Linked DNA regions of Stegostoma tigrinum. The protein of the gene in region 1 purifies or fractionates together with the protein of each later gene. This does not show direct contact. Links are inferred from orthologs where the notes say so. Each region holds a gene or a part of one and is shown in the gene's direction. Other genes may lie near its edges.

Evidence for each region. Proteins that work in one complex are often made in the same cells at the same time.
Region 2: the proteins of ilf2 (region 1) and igf2bp3 purify together in Homo sapiens (affinity purification with mass spectrometry; 3 studies listed by BioGRID and IntAct, counting the BioPlex papers as one, with this or other methods). This does not show direct contact. The link is inferred for Stegostoma tigrinum from reciprocal best matches to the Homo sapiens genes ILF2 and IGF2BP3.

What each region holds. Positions count from the first base shown.
Region 1 is NC_081400.1:1,950,282-1,957,671, reverse strand, and holds the start of ilf2 (interleukin enhancer-binding factor 2 homolog), read left to right. Parts: upstream 1-4,348; 5' UTR 4,349-4,426; intron 4,427-4,521; 5' UTR 4,522-4,564; intron 4,565-7,390. UniProt on the Homo sapiens protein: Chromatin-interacting protein that forms a stable heterodimer with interleukin enhancer-binding factor 3/ILF3 and plays a role in several biological processes including transcription, innate immunity or cell growth.
Region 2 is NC_081355.1:76,370,664-76,378,418, reverse strand, and holds the start of igf2bp3 (insulin-like growth factor 2 mRNA-binding protein 3), read left to right. Parts: upstream 1-4,437; 5' UTR 4,438-4,756; intron 4,757-4,762; exon of another isoform or gene 4,763-5,101; 5' UTR 5,102-5,111; coding exon 5,112-5,286; intron 5,287-6,299; coding exon 6,300-6,360; intron 6,361-7,755. UniProt on the Homo sapiens protein: RNA-binding factor that may recruit target transcripts to cytoplasmic protein-RNA complexes (mRNPs). This transcript 'caging' into mRNPs allows mRNA transport and transient storage.

The sequences.
Region 1 (7,390 bases):
AACTCATCAGGTCTGGCGGCATCTGTGGAGAGAAAGCAGAGCCAATGTTTGAGTCCAGAATATCTTGTCCTCAGAACTGAGCCATGCTAGACTTAAACAGAAATTGCTGGTGAAACTTAGCAGGTTTGGCAGCATTTTATGGAGAGAAAGCAGAGGCAAAGTTTCAATCCAGTGATCTTTCTTCAGAATCACTTTGCAGAAAGGTCATTGGGCCCAAATCATTGACTCTTTCTGTCCACGGATGCTGCTAGACCTGCTGAGTTTCGCCAGCACTTTCTGTTTTTGTTTCAGATTTACAGCATCCACAGTTTTTATGTTTTGTCTTTCACACTGGACTTCTTGGGCTGAATGGCCTACTTCTGCTACTGTGTCTTCTCTTCAAACCGGGCTGATGGGGGTTAGCTACAGATCAGCCATTGATCTAATAATGGAGAGATAGAGTTGTTAATTTGGTGCAAATCTTACGGAAGTAAAATTCTGCAGATGTTGGAAATCTTAAACAAATACAAAGAGTAGCAGAGTTGCCCTGGGCTCACAATGGTAACTGTGTTCCTCATTGCACAAATGCTGCCAGACCTGCTGACTTTCTCCACCGTTCCCTGTGTTTGTTACAGATTTTCAGCATCTGCAATGTTGCTATTATTTTAACATTTACACCTGTTTTACTCTGATTCCCCTTTACCTCATTGTCACTGCCTTTGTCTTTGGTCTGCATCACTTTTTCCATCTATTCCACTTGCTTTGTTTACAGCATAAAGCCATCATTTTCCAGCTCCTTTCAGTTTTGAAGAATAGCTGACCTGGACTCTGAAATGTTAACTGTGTTTCTATCTCCACAGCGGCTGCCAGACTTGATGAGATTCTACAGCATTGTGTTTGTTTCAGATTCACAGCATTTTGCTTTTCTAAAACTGACAAAGTCCTCTCTCTCTTTCATCTCTTAAAATTAATTAATGCCCTCTTGCTCACCCTGTTATTTGTCTTTTTCTGCTCGGAGAGCCGTGGTGGAGTTGTCACTGTGTGATAAGTATGGGCACCACATGGCTTTCGCATTGCCTCCCCTCTGGAATTCAGACTGCTTTGTCCACGTTTGGACATGTTTCGGAGATGGGGACCCTGTCAGAACTCAAACCTAACAGCAGTTATTGTCGAGTAAGTTAGTGCAGGTTGACAGCATTGTCGAAGACCTATTTTGGTGGTCCATCTTTGATGGCTGTGCTTTCATCTGCTTTGCTCCAAGCTCTGGAATTTGCTTTCCTTAAACCTCCCTGGTCTTCTCCCTTTAACACTGTTCTTAACACCTGTCTTTCCTATTGTGTCACCTACTTCCTTGGGAGCCTTGGCTTCTAATCTTGTCACAATCTCTCACTATGAAGCACTGTGGATTTTATCAAAAATTAAAACTGCTATGTCAACAATGTTGTTGTAAAGGTGCAGTGTAATAGTAGATGAGCTGTTAGATGACCTTGCTGAAGTCAAATAGTCGTTCTTTCAGCATCGTATTCTCTCAAACATTCAGAAATGTCAACGGCAAATTAAGTTACTTGACAGGCATGTGAATGTACCAAGGTTGTTGTTAATTTCCATGATTGGGGAAATGTTATAAAACAGCAGCTCTGTGAATTGTATACCTAATCATCTGGACTGTTGAGGCAGTGCAGCCTTGTTAATGAAGATCTCATTCTCAGTTAAGCACAATTCCAGGTAGCAAACCTTTTTGACTTCTGTTTTAAATGTAACCCCCTGGAATAAGTCACCTTGGCTTTTGGCGTTACTTCTATTTTGCTTTGAATTTAGTACTTGCCTTTAGCCTTTTGAGAGTTTGGTGCGTTACAGCAAAAACAGCATTGACATTTGCAATTGTCTACATTACCCAGTTGTAACTGATATCAACACTCTAATCAATGCAGGTGTAGAGAAAATGTGCAAAATTACAAAGGTCATGGTACTCACAGGAACATGTCTAGGTTCTCCATATTGGCCCTGAGGGATGGATGCTTGTGGTATAAGCACCAGTGATTAAAAATCTGCATTTTTGGGGCATTAATACATCTTACAGTAGATTTAATTGGATTAATAGAGATCAAATCATCCAATGGCAATGGATACCTATTGAATATAAATTTCCAGATTATAATCTGGATAAAGATGAGAAATTTCATTATAAGGAGGGTTAATTGTGTGTTGAATGCCCTACCAAAATATGGGTGTAAGCAGCTTTTTTGAAGGGAAGTTGTGTTATAATACAGATGGGCATGAGCTGGCACAGGCAGGCTGAATGTTGTGTCTGTGCTGTCACATTGAATAATTCTGAGATCCCCAAAGCAGGACGCTGTTGCAGAAAATTTTCGACATGAATGCGCAAAATTCCTATCTCAAAACCACATTTGAATGTGGCATTGATGATGCCCACGGTTAATTCTAGTGAAGACAGTGTATGTTGTACCCACAACCTGCCGCAAGGTTGGCAGTTTTCACTGTGTCAGGAGCAAGGCACAAAGCTGGAACACAAACACACACTCTGGTTACATTGCAAGAATTTAACCTGTTCTGAGAACTCCTTCCTCATTCCTCCAGAGTTTTGCTTCTCAGCCTTTCCCATTTAGTATCGGCTGTGATGAAGTGAGCAGAACTGTTGCCTTGAGGTCAGAACGTTGTGGGTTCAAATTCCACTTCAACACTTGTAAGTCCCTGTGCAACACTGAGGGGTGCTACGCTGTCGGAGGTACTGTCTGTGGATGAGACATCAAAAACAAGGGCCGATCAACCCCCTCATGTTGATATTGAAGATTCTCTGTCATTACTTTGACGAAGAGCAGGGAAATTATCCTGGTGTCCACACTGTCAACCTTGCACAAGCAGCTTGTTATCGCATAGCTAATTGTAGGAGTACATTTGACTTAAATTGAATGCCATATTTTAATAATGCACTTCATTTCAAACATACTTCATGGCTATAAAATACTACGGAGTGTTTGGCATTCATGAAAGGTGCTAGCCTTTTCCTTTTGGCTTTCTGGCAATGTGTCCTATTGATTTCCCCCCCCACACTGCTCTTGTATTGACCTGGAGTTTTCAGGATGGGACTCTGCACTTTTTTGTACACAGTGACTGCAGGCAGACCATTTACAGTCTGAACGCACGACACCATGGAGCAAATACTATGCACAGACAGCTCCCCTTCATGTTTAAAAAAAAACTGACTTTGAGAGCCAGTGAATTTCACCCTGGAAACTACAGATTAAGCTCACCTATTGGACATAGAATGCTAGGACGATGCAGGGACCTGGAGGGATAATGTTTTCACACAGAAGGTGGTGTATTTATGGAACCCAGGTGCCCAAGGAAGTGGTGGAGGCTGTACAATTACAACATTTAAAAGGCCATCCGCATGGGTATGCAAGTAGGAAAGGTTTAGAGGGATATGGGCTGTCTTTTTCTCTAAGGTGGGGGATTTCAAGACTGGGGGGATATATTTAAGGTGACATGAGAAAGATTTAAAACACGTGAGAGGCAATTTTTTTTGGCTCTGTTTACACTAGTTCATATGTGGAATGAACTTGCACAGAAAGAGGTGGATGTGTGTACAGCTGCGACATTGAAATGACATTTGGATGAGTACATGAGTAGAATATGATGGGAGGGATATGGGCCAAGCACAGACAGGTGGAGCTAGTTTAGTTTGGGATTATGGTCAGCATGGATTAGTTGGACCAAAGGGTCTGTGTCTGTGTTCTATGACTGTGAAAGTAGGACTAGACAACTCGCAACTGGAACGTTCCAAGGAAATGTTTCTCAATGACATCCAATTAGACCCCCATTTAGGGAGGTTTGGAGGGGCTGGGGGAATGATTGGGACTCACCATCTATGGAACAATGACGAGTGAATGTAGGATAGTGTGAATGAAAATATAGGTGCAGAAGGTAAGTAGATGTTGATGTTTTGAGGGAAATTGAATGTTAACTGACATTATTTAAGCAGCAGAACAAAATAGTTGTCGGGGATTAATGTAATGACTTCAGCGTATGTAAACAAGATGGTTCGTGAGCTTAGACTGGCCACTTTTCCCAACATTTCCTTTGGGGACTTTAAGATTCTGTCCCTGTTATTGCTGTCTTCTAGATTTGATGCCAGCATCATTTTTGATCTGTGCTCTTTTTGTTTTCGTTACTTGTGACTGATTTTAAAAAGTTGCTTTTGAATCCAGGACTTGGCTTGTTTGGTATTTTTGGCCACATCCAGGATTCAGGAGCTTGGACACACTACGCCACAGACCACCTTAATGCTGTTTCCTTGGGGTTGCATGTTTTCCCCACCTACGGAGCTTGTATCTGTTTTAACTGCGCATTCATATGCTTTCTATTGCAGAGGCGACAGAGGACGTGGCCGTGGACGTTTTGGTGCAAGGGGTGGCCCAGTTGGGGGGTACGTGTCACGAGACAGTCGTTTGCTAAAGATTTTTTCTGTTACAATCCAGATTTTATTAATTTGAAACTTTTATTTCTCTCCAACGTAAACAGGTTCAGACCATTCGTTCCTCACATCCCATTCGACTTCTATGTGGTAGGTGACAGTATCTTTTCTCAACACGTCACAGAGCACTGTGCAGCCGATGAGACAATTTTGACACCCAGTCATTGTTATATGTTAGCTAATTGTACACATTAAGCTGTATGGTAATGACTGGGTAAACTACAACAGGGAGTTGCTGGAGTGAATATTGACCTAGATGCCAGAGCCTGCCTTTGAGTGGTTACAATGGGCTCCTTTACCTCCACCTGAGAGTGGAGATGCCAGTGTTCGACTTGGGTAGACATAGTCAGAGATCACATGACACCAAGTAAGAGCCCCAACAGGAGATAGCAAGAACTGCAGGTGCTAGAGTCACAGTCCGAACAGGTTTATTTGAATCACAAGTTTCAAAACACTGCTCCTTCGTCAGTTGAAGTGGAAGGACCTGTACCGGCACAGAATTTATATGCAGAGAGATAATGGCAAGATAATTACAGGTAACTAAGAATGGTCATCCCCTCACTTGCTAGTCTGCTGTTGTCACTTCACTTACACCATTTAACACTTTTTTGATCACCTGCATAGAAATGTTATTCTGCTTGTCAATACTCTACTCACACACTATTGGGGAGCACTGTTGTGGGGAAATGTTAGCCCACTCAAGGACAGTGGAGTGAGTGTGTGTGTCTGTGTGTGTGTCTGTGTGTGTCCAGAAGAGGTCGGTGGAGAGGTCTTAAAAGATAACTCTGTACCAGTATTTGTGAAAGAGAAGTAATTGGAACAGGGGTGATCTCAGGGAACAGAGAGTCGCATTACTAAACCAAGTTGCTATTAAAAAAGAAGTGGTGATGTGTGTCTTAAAAAGTATTAAGATAGATAAGTCCTCTGGTCCTGGTGGGATCTATCACAGAATATTGAGGGAGGGAAGAAAGCCCGTCGCTGGACCACTGACAGGCATCTTTCTATCCTCTTTGGTGACAGGTGAGGTCCCAGAGGACTGGAGAATAACCATTGTTTAAAAAGCGTATTGGGGATAATCCAGGAAATTACAGGCCTCTAAGCCTCATGGTGGTAGGGAAATTAGTGCAATAGATTCTCAGGGTCAAGATCTATAAGCATTTAGAAGCAAATGGACTGACTAACACTCAACAGCATGGTTTTATGCAGGAGAGGCCGTGCCTCAATAACTGATTTGAATTTTTTGAGGAGGTGATGGAAATGATTGAGGGAAAAGTGGCTGAGGTTGTCTACATGGACTTCAGTAAAGCCTCTAACAAGGTCCCTCGTAGCAGACTGGTACAAAAGATGAAGTCACATGTTATTGAGGTGAGCTGGCAACATGGATACAGATCTGACTTAATGATTGGAGACAGGGTAGCAGTGGAAGAATGCTTTTCAGAAGGGAAGGTTGTGACTGGTGATGTTCCACAGGGATCACTGCTGGGACCTCTGCTTGCGATCTACATCAATGATTTGAAGGAAAACATAGCTGGTCTAATTAGTAAGTTTGCAGATTATAACAAAGATCGGTGGAATTGAGAATAGTGAGGAGGATTGTCAGAGGATACAGCAGGTTATAGATCATTCGGAGGTACGGGCAGAAAAATAGCAAATGCGTGTTTAATCCGGACAAATGCATTTTGGAAGGTCAAGTACAGGAACTTATACAGTGAATGGCAGAACCCTTAGGAGTATTGACATGCAGAGGGATCTTGCTGTGCAGATCCACAGATCACTAAGTGGCTGTGTACGTAGAAAGGTGGTTTAAAAAAGGCCTACAGCAGCGTGCTTGCTTTCTTTGGAAGGGGCGTTGACTACAAGGATAGTCAAGTTATGCTGCGGCTTTAGAGAAGTTTAGTTAGGCCATACCTAGAATATTGCTGACAATTCTGGTCCCCTCACTGCCAGAAAGATGTGGATGCTTTGGAAAGGAAATAGAAAAGGTTTGCTAGGATGTAGCCTGGAATGGGAATTTTAGCTATAAAGAAAGGTTGGATAGACTGGGCTTGTTTTCACTAGAATGCAGGAGGGCAGCTAGAAAGAAGTTCATAACATTGTGCATGGCCTAGATAGTGTGAAAAGAATGCGGTCTTTTCCCAGGGTGAAGGGGTCAATTACTAGAGATACAGATTCAAGGTACCATGGGGGTGTTCAAAAGAGATGTGTGAAAAATGTGCCTTGCACAAAAGTAGCATTCACGAATCACTTGAATGAATACAAGCATAGGAAGGGAATAGAGGGATATGGATCCTGTAAGTGAAGACCGTTCTAGTGTGGAACGGCAAAATGTGCTGGCGCAGGCTTGGAGGGCTGAAGGACCTGTTCCTGTGCTGGATTGTTCTTTGTTCTGTTGTACTTATCTTTTGATACTCTTAATTACCTTGAATTATCTTGTTGTTATATCTCCACGCATAAATTCTGTCCCAGTGCGCTTCCCTTCATGTCACCTGATGAAGGGGCTACACGCTGAAAGCTTGTGATTTCAAATAAACCTCTTGCACCATAACCTGGTGACAAGTAACTTCTGACTTTGTCCATCTGAAAGGGCAGGTGGGACCTTATTTTTACATTTCCCTTAAAGCTAGCGCCTCTGACACCACAGCCCTCCTTCAACTACCACACTGATTTGTTGGCCTGTATTTTGTCCTGATGTTCCTGGGCTGTGAACCCATGGCCTTTTGACTTGGGGGACAGTGCTCTGCGCTAATCCATGGCCGATGTACAGTGCTTGTTAAAGCTGGCACAGTGCATTGGCACCACCTGGGCTCCTCTGGTTATTCTGTTACATTCAAATGTCTGCCTGCTTCATTGGGCAATATGTAGGGTCCACTTGACCTCCATGAAAAGGAAAGTTGGGTTGTGTGTGTACTGTTGTTA
Region 2 (7,755 bases), on another chromosome or scaffold:
CAACTCAAACAAAGACAATTATCAAATGGCAGTTTGTTTGAAAGATACACTAACAGAAGAAAACATATTTTGGGTTTAATTGAAAAGTTGTTTTAAAATTTAAAATCCGTTTTCCTTCACCACGCCAACATAAACAGGATTTCCTTCCTGCACCCCATAAGATTTTTATGATGGAGAGGCACAATGCGTAAAGGTTTATTTTCCTTTTATGTTCGCGAACCAGACTTTTCAGAATTTTGTAATTATTATTAATAAAGCAGATATATTCAGTTTTAGGATTGGACAATATGCAATATCTCAAAGCATCTATTCAATTTTACAAAAGAACTGAACTTCTGGCTAATGGCATAATTTCACTGTTTTGGGTTTAACATTTTATCACAAATTCTAAAAATGATGTCAAAATGCATATTAAAACATTTCATAGCATCAGGATCACTTACAACTTATTCCTTATTCAAAGACTATTGAAAGACTTCATATATTGTGAATAGCTTTGGATCGTAATATTTTCATATTTTGAATCATTAAAGGCAGTGGTTTCATATCCTGCTTTTAAGCATTAATGTACAGTTTGATGCAAAATGCTACAGGTAGATAAGTTCAGAGTCATACAGCAAGGAAACAGACACTTTGGTCCAACTAGTCCACACCGAACATGTTTCCAACCTAAACTACTTACAACTACTGCATTTGGCTCACATCCCTGCAAACCTTTCCTATTCATGTACCCTTGTAACTGAACCTGCAACTACCACTTTCTCTGGAAATTCATTCATACAATATCCACTGTGGAAAAAAAAATGTTGACCCTCACGTTCTTTTTAAATCTTTCTCCTATCTTAAAAATGCCCCCTAGTTTTAAATTCCACCAGCCTAGAGAAAAGACCCTTGTTATTCTCCTTATCTATGCCCCCTCATGATTTTATAAATCCCACTAAGGTTACCCCTCAAACCTTCAAAGATCCAGTAAAAGCCTCAGTCTTCCCACTCTATTTTTATATCTCAAATCCTCCATTCCCGGCAACATCCTGGTAAATCTTTGTTGAAACCTCTCCAGTTTAATAATATCCTTCCTATAGCAGGGCCACCAGGACTGAACACAGTACTACAGAAGAGGCCTCACCAACGTTCTGTGTAACCTCAACATGACGTCCCAACTCCTATACTCAAAGATCCGAGCAATGAAGACAATTGATTATTCAGACTTTAACGTTCATTTTGATTTCAAAGCTCATACAGCTCAGAGAACATTTAAGCTGTCTTTCTCTTAAAAATGTATTAGAAGCTTGCATAATCTGGTTTATAGTGAACAATTAAATAATTCAACAATTCTGTAACCAATTAGCAAAAAAGTAAACTTAACTAGATAACAATATAATTCTTGATTAAAAAGATATGGTAAGAAAAGTAAAAGTCCCATTAGACAATGAAAGAATTATCAATTTTAGATAATGTTGATAATATTGTTTTGGACTAAATGCAAATCCTAATTTGAAGACTCCAATATATAAAGACATGATCCTCTGTTAATTTCATGCAGTTGTTTTAGTTCTAATTCTTGAAAACAAAACAATCTAATTTGAAGCTGTTTAGACTTAAAACTAGTTCATGTAGTTAACAATGTACTAGTCACATTGTGTTTACATGCCCAGACAATAATTTAGAAATGTTATTTCACAACTTTAGTTGCATTCTAACTGTTTTATGTTTTGACAGAAAAAAAGGAGGCACAAAGGAAATGGAAAGAACATAATCTGATTTTTATTTTTGTGAAGAATATTCCAAGTAACTTTTAAATTACTTTTCCATCAGATTCTTTGGAAACATTGCCTAATGTTATGAATTTTGTTTGAAATATTTCAATAAGCTACAATTATTTGCTTTGTCTAAATATAGGTTACATTTTTCAATAGTATTGAAAACAAATATCACAGTATACAATGCTTTAAAATGACAAAATTAATTTACTTTTGTACTGAATTTATGACGAAGTTACACTTTAATATATATTAATCTATTAAATCCATTGTCAAAATTACCTTGGCTATAATAAATTTGTGCAATATTTTAAAATCACATTATTTGCAAATATTTTGATCAGGTTTAAGCTTCACTGTTATTTATCCTTGTAGAGCGATGGTTTTACTCAACAATAAATAATTTCAAAGTAGTTAAGGAATTGCATTTGTATTGTTAATCGTGACTACAATATCTACACAAAGAATGAAATGTGCAACGTGCAGAACAAAGTGAGATTTGCTCTCACAAAAAGTAAGTTGATCAATTCAACATGTTTTTAATACATATTTAGAAGATAAAGAACAAAAACCAATACCCTATAAGCTTTTCAAAAGCGTTGAAATGGTTATAGAGGTGGCATTGCTTTATATTTTCTTAAATCTATGCGGCTCTCTGTAGAACCACTGATGTTTTAATTTGAAAACAAAACTTCAAATGTGTTTATTCAAAGTACTTTACCATTTTTAATGTATGTTTTCATGTTAAAACATTAAATATTAAAACAGTACAACATATAGGAATTTAAGATAATTGAAAAGTCAACATAAAGACTTTTTACTGAAACATCGAGTTGTTATTTGACATTTTGTTTGAAGATGGAAACTTATAATAACATAGTGCACTTTAACTGGTAATAAGAATTTAGTTTGACATCAGTTTTTCATAATTTCAAAATGAACAACATTGACACCTCTGGTATTTGAAATTGATTTAAGTAGAGGTGGATGATTATGGGGAATGCAGACGAAGCTTTAAGGAACAGTAGAAAGTGTGAACTTTGTGGTAGAACAAAGATTTGAAGCATATCACAACTATAATAGAACATATTAACTTAGTTTTTCTCTTCTGCCACAAAATAAGTTCCAAAGTGTCAGATCTTGGATATAATAATCTGTTCATAATGTATTATTTCTTTAACAACAATTTTTGGGAGTTTTTTTAAACAATGAAGCTCTTATAAAGCCCTACGTTCTATTTGCCCCTCCCCCAGTTTGAATTTTCATTTAAAGTGAAGCTTTGGTTATTGAATTGACCATTTAAACATGGTAATCAAATTAAATGGATATTTTAATCTTTCAGTAAGCTGGTAAAAGATATATGAAACAATTTATTTACTTACACCACACAGTAATTTCCCCCAATGAGTCCAAATGGGACGGCACACCACACGATTAAAAATTAATACTCAACCGAATCACCAAATTAACATTTTCTTTTTCCTTGGCTAGTCCGATTATCAATCGCACTAAACACGCAGCAAATACAATTTTAAAAGTATTTTGTAAATCAATTACATCAATAAATACGGCATATATTTGACTTCAATCCACATACTTCAATTTCCCGAAGATTGCTATAACGTTCCAGGAATTATAATCGGCAAACGGAACATGAAATCGGAACAAAAGATTTTGAAGCAGTTAACGTAAACGAAATAGCACGATTAACTTCAGTTTTGAATTTATGAAAACGTGCTAAGCGCTCGTACGCTACCTATCATCTAGTCCATTAAAGTGGACAGCTAGAGTCATGAGGAATGATCGCAAGGTACAACTTCATTCACTAACGATTATTTTATTTTTATAACGAAATTACCCCCTCGTGCCGGGCGGGGAAATTATTAGATGCGTCCGTAAAGAGCGAAGTGGCTTTGCACAATTTTTAAATCGACAATACCGAACTTCACACATACGCGATTGCCAACAAAGGAGACGGGTTTGAATCTCGGATGTAGATTTTCGTTCGTTCTGAACACTTCCGCCAATAAAGTTGTGCAATGTGAATTTAGTTAGCTATTTTTCCAAAAAACGAAAACGTTCTTTTTTTAAGAAGAACTGCGCCAACGACAGCTCAGCACGAGTTATTTTAAAAAATAATTCTGATACGCTTTTATTTTTTTTAACAAAACTTGCCTGTGGGCACACATTTAAACAAACGACCTTTGAAAATAAATCAAAGACCTGGAGTTCCAATATTTTATAGAGGTAACGTCGCCTCGTGTGAACAATAGTGGAGTTGCCGAATAGCGTAAGAAAACGTCGAAACTGCTACAACTTTCAAAAGATCACTTTCGACCAACATTTCAATGAGATAATGTAATTACCCATTCAGTGGATCCCATCAACCAACCAAAATCTGGGGGTAAAAACGTCGTTTAATAATAAAAGAACAACGTCTCCAATAATAAAGGAGCAGCCATTGCAACGTATCGGTTTTGGCACGACCCGATTAGACATCTCCTGAACACGGTATCGTTACCACATTATTCAGCTTTAAACAGGGAGGGGACGCAAAAGATGGGCAGATCACAGCGAAAATGCACTCCCTCCCCCGCCTCGCCTCACACAACCAGCCCCAACCCCCACCGATCAACCAGACCAATAACTCGCATAACCATCACCACATTGGGGAACTGCAACAGTCAGGAGAATTTTCGCGCCATCGCCCTTGTAAATGGCAGCCTGATCTAAGCCAATGAATGAAATTTGCAGGCAGAGAGGGAGAGAGAGCAAAAAAAACTTGGTCAATGGTAGCGAGGCTGGAGACGCTTGATAGGATCCTAGAGTCAAGCTGTGTGCGAATGAGAAGACGGAAAATGGGAAGAGGGAAAAAAATGGAGAGCGCTCCAAACTACTATTATTCCACAATCAATATGTTTCTCGGATTCTTGGAGTACAGCTCGTCCCTCCCTCCGTTTCTCTCCCAGTATCATTGAATAGCTGGCATTCCTCACGTGAGAAGTTGATATTAGTTTGACCACGTGGCTCATTCAGCCGGAATATTCGGGGATTTTTTGGAGCTGCATTTTATTCAGAGGCGGTGCTAGTAGTAACGTAGTGTGACATTTTCACAGCCTGTTTGCGAAAGGGGTTTTGGGGGAAAGACAAAAAAATAGTTTTTTTCTCTCTCCGAAGCCCGCCATTCTAGACTGCTAATACTACTTCTGGGGATTTATTTTATCATCGCGTGTATTTTTTTTGTAAGGACTCTTCTCGCTCCCATCTTTATATTTAAATCGACCGATTATTTCTCCAAAGGGAAGATAAGGACGGAAGGATCTTTGTCTTTTTTTTTGCAGTTTTAGCAACATGAACAAGCTGTACATTGGGAATCTCACCGAAAACGTAACCACTGTGGACTTGGAAAGTCTTTTCAAGGAATGGAAGATTCCCTTCACTGGACAGTTTCTGGTGAAATCTGGTTATGCATTTGTCGATTGCCCAGATGATAACTGTGCTATGAAGGCGATAGATACTCTGTCAGGTAAGCGAGTTAATCCCTTGTAGTCTAATATTACCTCAAGTTTTGAAACAAACAGTCGTGAACCTTGTTTGGTGGGAGGCCTAAGGCAGCTCCTTGCGCACCAGTTTCGCACAAATCGACTGGGGGCGCGGGCGAGACGAAGCTGCTTACACCCGTGTGTTTTGCAAATATCCACTCCTCGTATCTACACCTAAACTGGATTTTCTTGTGACGTTCGCACAGAAATTGGGTTTCTTTTTAACCTAATCTAAATAACATTTGGAACCCCCACCCGTTATTCCTCTGCATCTGCACGCGGTCTTTTCTTTCCCCCATTGAATTGTTACACTTCAAGCGTTCAGTGGATTGACAGTAACTATACGGGGATGCATTCTGTACAGGATTCTTTAATTTGTCAACTCTTTATTGATCTTGTGTAATTGGGCTGGGGTCGGAGAATTCGGCCCGTGTTGTTGTACCTTCTTGGTGAGAGTAGGCCTTTAATAACTCCAGCGGCAGCTCGGAGCCATCATTCAAATCAGTGCGCACCGGGAAAGGAATACGCACTTCAAATCTTATACTTCTGACAGAAATAAAGACAAATGAAAGCTCACTATCCGAAAACTATTGACAATATCAATTTTTTTTTCATTCGTTCCGTCCCCCAGCGCGAACGCATTTGTAGTCGGCCATACTGAGTCCCAAAAGTGTCCTTTAGCACTCGACCACTAGAAAAATGGCTGAGAATTAGAGCACAGCAATTGAGTTCACGTTTTCTTAAAAAAAAATTTCAAATTGTACTTGTTCATATCAGTTTTGTGACTACAGTTGACCGACTCCTTTACGTTCTACGCCGAACTTTCTTGTCGACACTGTTCCGAGATTTGTAACATAGTTGCCCAGCAAGTTGTTGTTCAACTGCAAACCTAACGCTTAAGATCAACAGAAGATAATTAAAAATAATCTTGGCTGAACGGTCGATTTTAAACGTTTTCAAGTGCTTAATACGCATTGTATTTTGTGCTTTGCTTCAGGTAAAGTTGAGCTGCATGGGAAATCTATAGAAGTGGAGCACTCCGTTCCTAAACGACAAAGGTAAAAGAAACTTTAATTCGTATCAGATTTCTTTCCGATCAGAGAGAATTAGACTACAACTGACTAATTAGCGATTATATCTGTTTGGAATTCAAGGTTATCTTAAACCCTACGAGTCTCTGGGATCCGTCTACTTAAGTTAGAAACTAATTACCGTTTGAATCTCGGATACTTTTTTTAAATGTCCCTTTGTACTTTTGTTTTGGTTTCTAGTTGAATTCTTTTATTTCTTTTATATATCACTGGAGTATTTGATCAAAAATATTTTATTTGAGAAGACACCAGAACACACTTCTAGTTTTAAAACGAGACCTGGTGCAGTGTTTTTTGAGAAGTTTGGGCGTCAGCAGGAAATGATCTGAGATGCTTTGCATCATGCTAATCGACAAACACGTGAGGAGCTCTCAATTTAAGAGCCAACAAAACGAAAATCACAATTCAATGTTTCCTCTATTGTCCACGAAATGTAAGAGATCATTTGATAGGGAAGGGAATTAATTCTTGTGTATTTGTTGCTTCACGTGAACCCTAATGTGCAATCGATTGTTCATCGATCTTAAAACTGTGCATTAAGATTATTCAAAAATGTTGTTACCAAAATATATAATTGATATTGTATGGAGTGTTGAGGTTAAACATCAATATTTCACTCTAAGGCTAATTTGACAGTTCTAAAACAGGATTTAATAGCTTTAGAAAGCAATGCCAACTGTTGGCTTTTTAAAATAAAGATCACTATTGGTTTGAACGTTCCATATGGATTGATAGAAGTTGAATTGTTTGTCACAGGATGCTTTTGTAATACAAAAATTACTAGGTTAGTTTTTGACCTATTTCCTCACCTGGCTGGCTTCAAGTTTCTCAGTAGAAAAAACAAACTTTTGAGGACCAGACTTAAAATGAGATTTGATTTCATTCACTCTTCAAAAGATGCCTCCATTCTTTGTGCTTCAGCTTTTGGTTTAATGTAACTTTACAGATTTACATGGAGTGTCATGAGGTTACGTCTGAAGGTTGTTGAAAATGCTACATTTGTGTGTGAGAGAGAGAAATGCTTGAATGGGCAAAATTTGGCATGGGAGTTACTTTACATTGCTTCCTGTGTGATTCTTCTCTTCACCTTTTCTTCCATTTGTTTGGCCTCAAACTGTACAACTTTTATTCCATATTCCCTGTAGTTCATTAGTACAGGATGTCTAAATTATTAATCTTCAGTCCTCTTTCTTTGCAAACCAGGCAGGAATTTTAAATATTAAATGTTCAGAAGGATTTAAGATTTGAATCTAAAAGCTAAATTGTAACTTTTGAACCATGGCATTTAAAGCTGGATATGCTATGATTTGAATTTATAAATTGCTGAATTTTTTTTAAAGAACTCAAAAGTTTTCTCAGTAA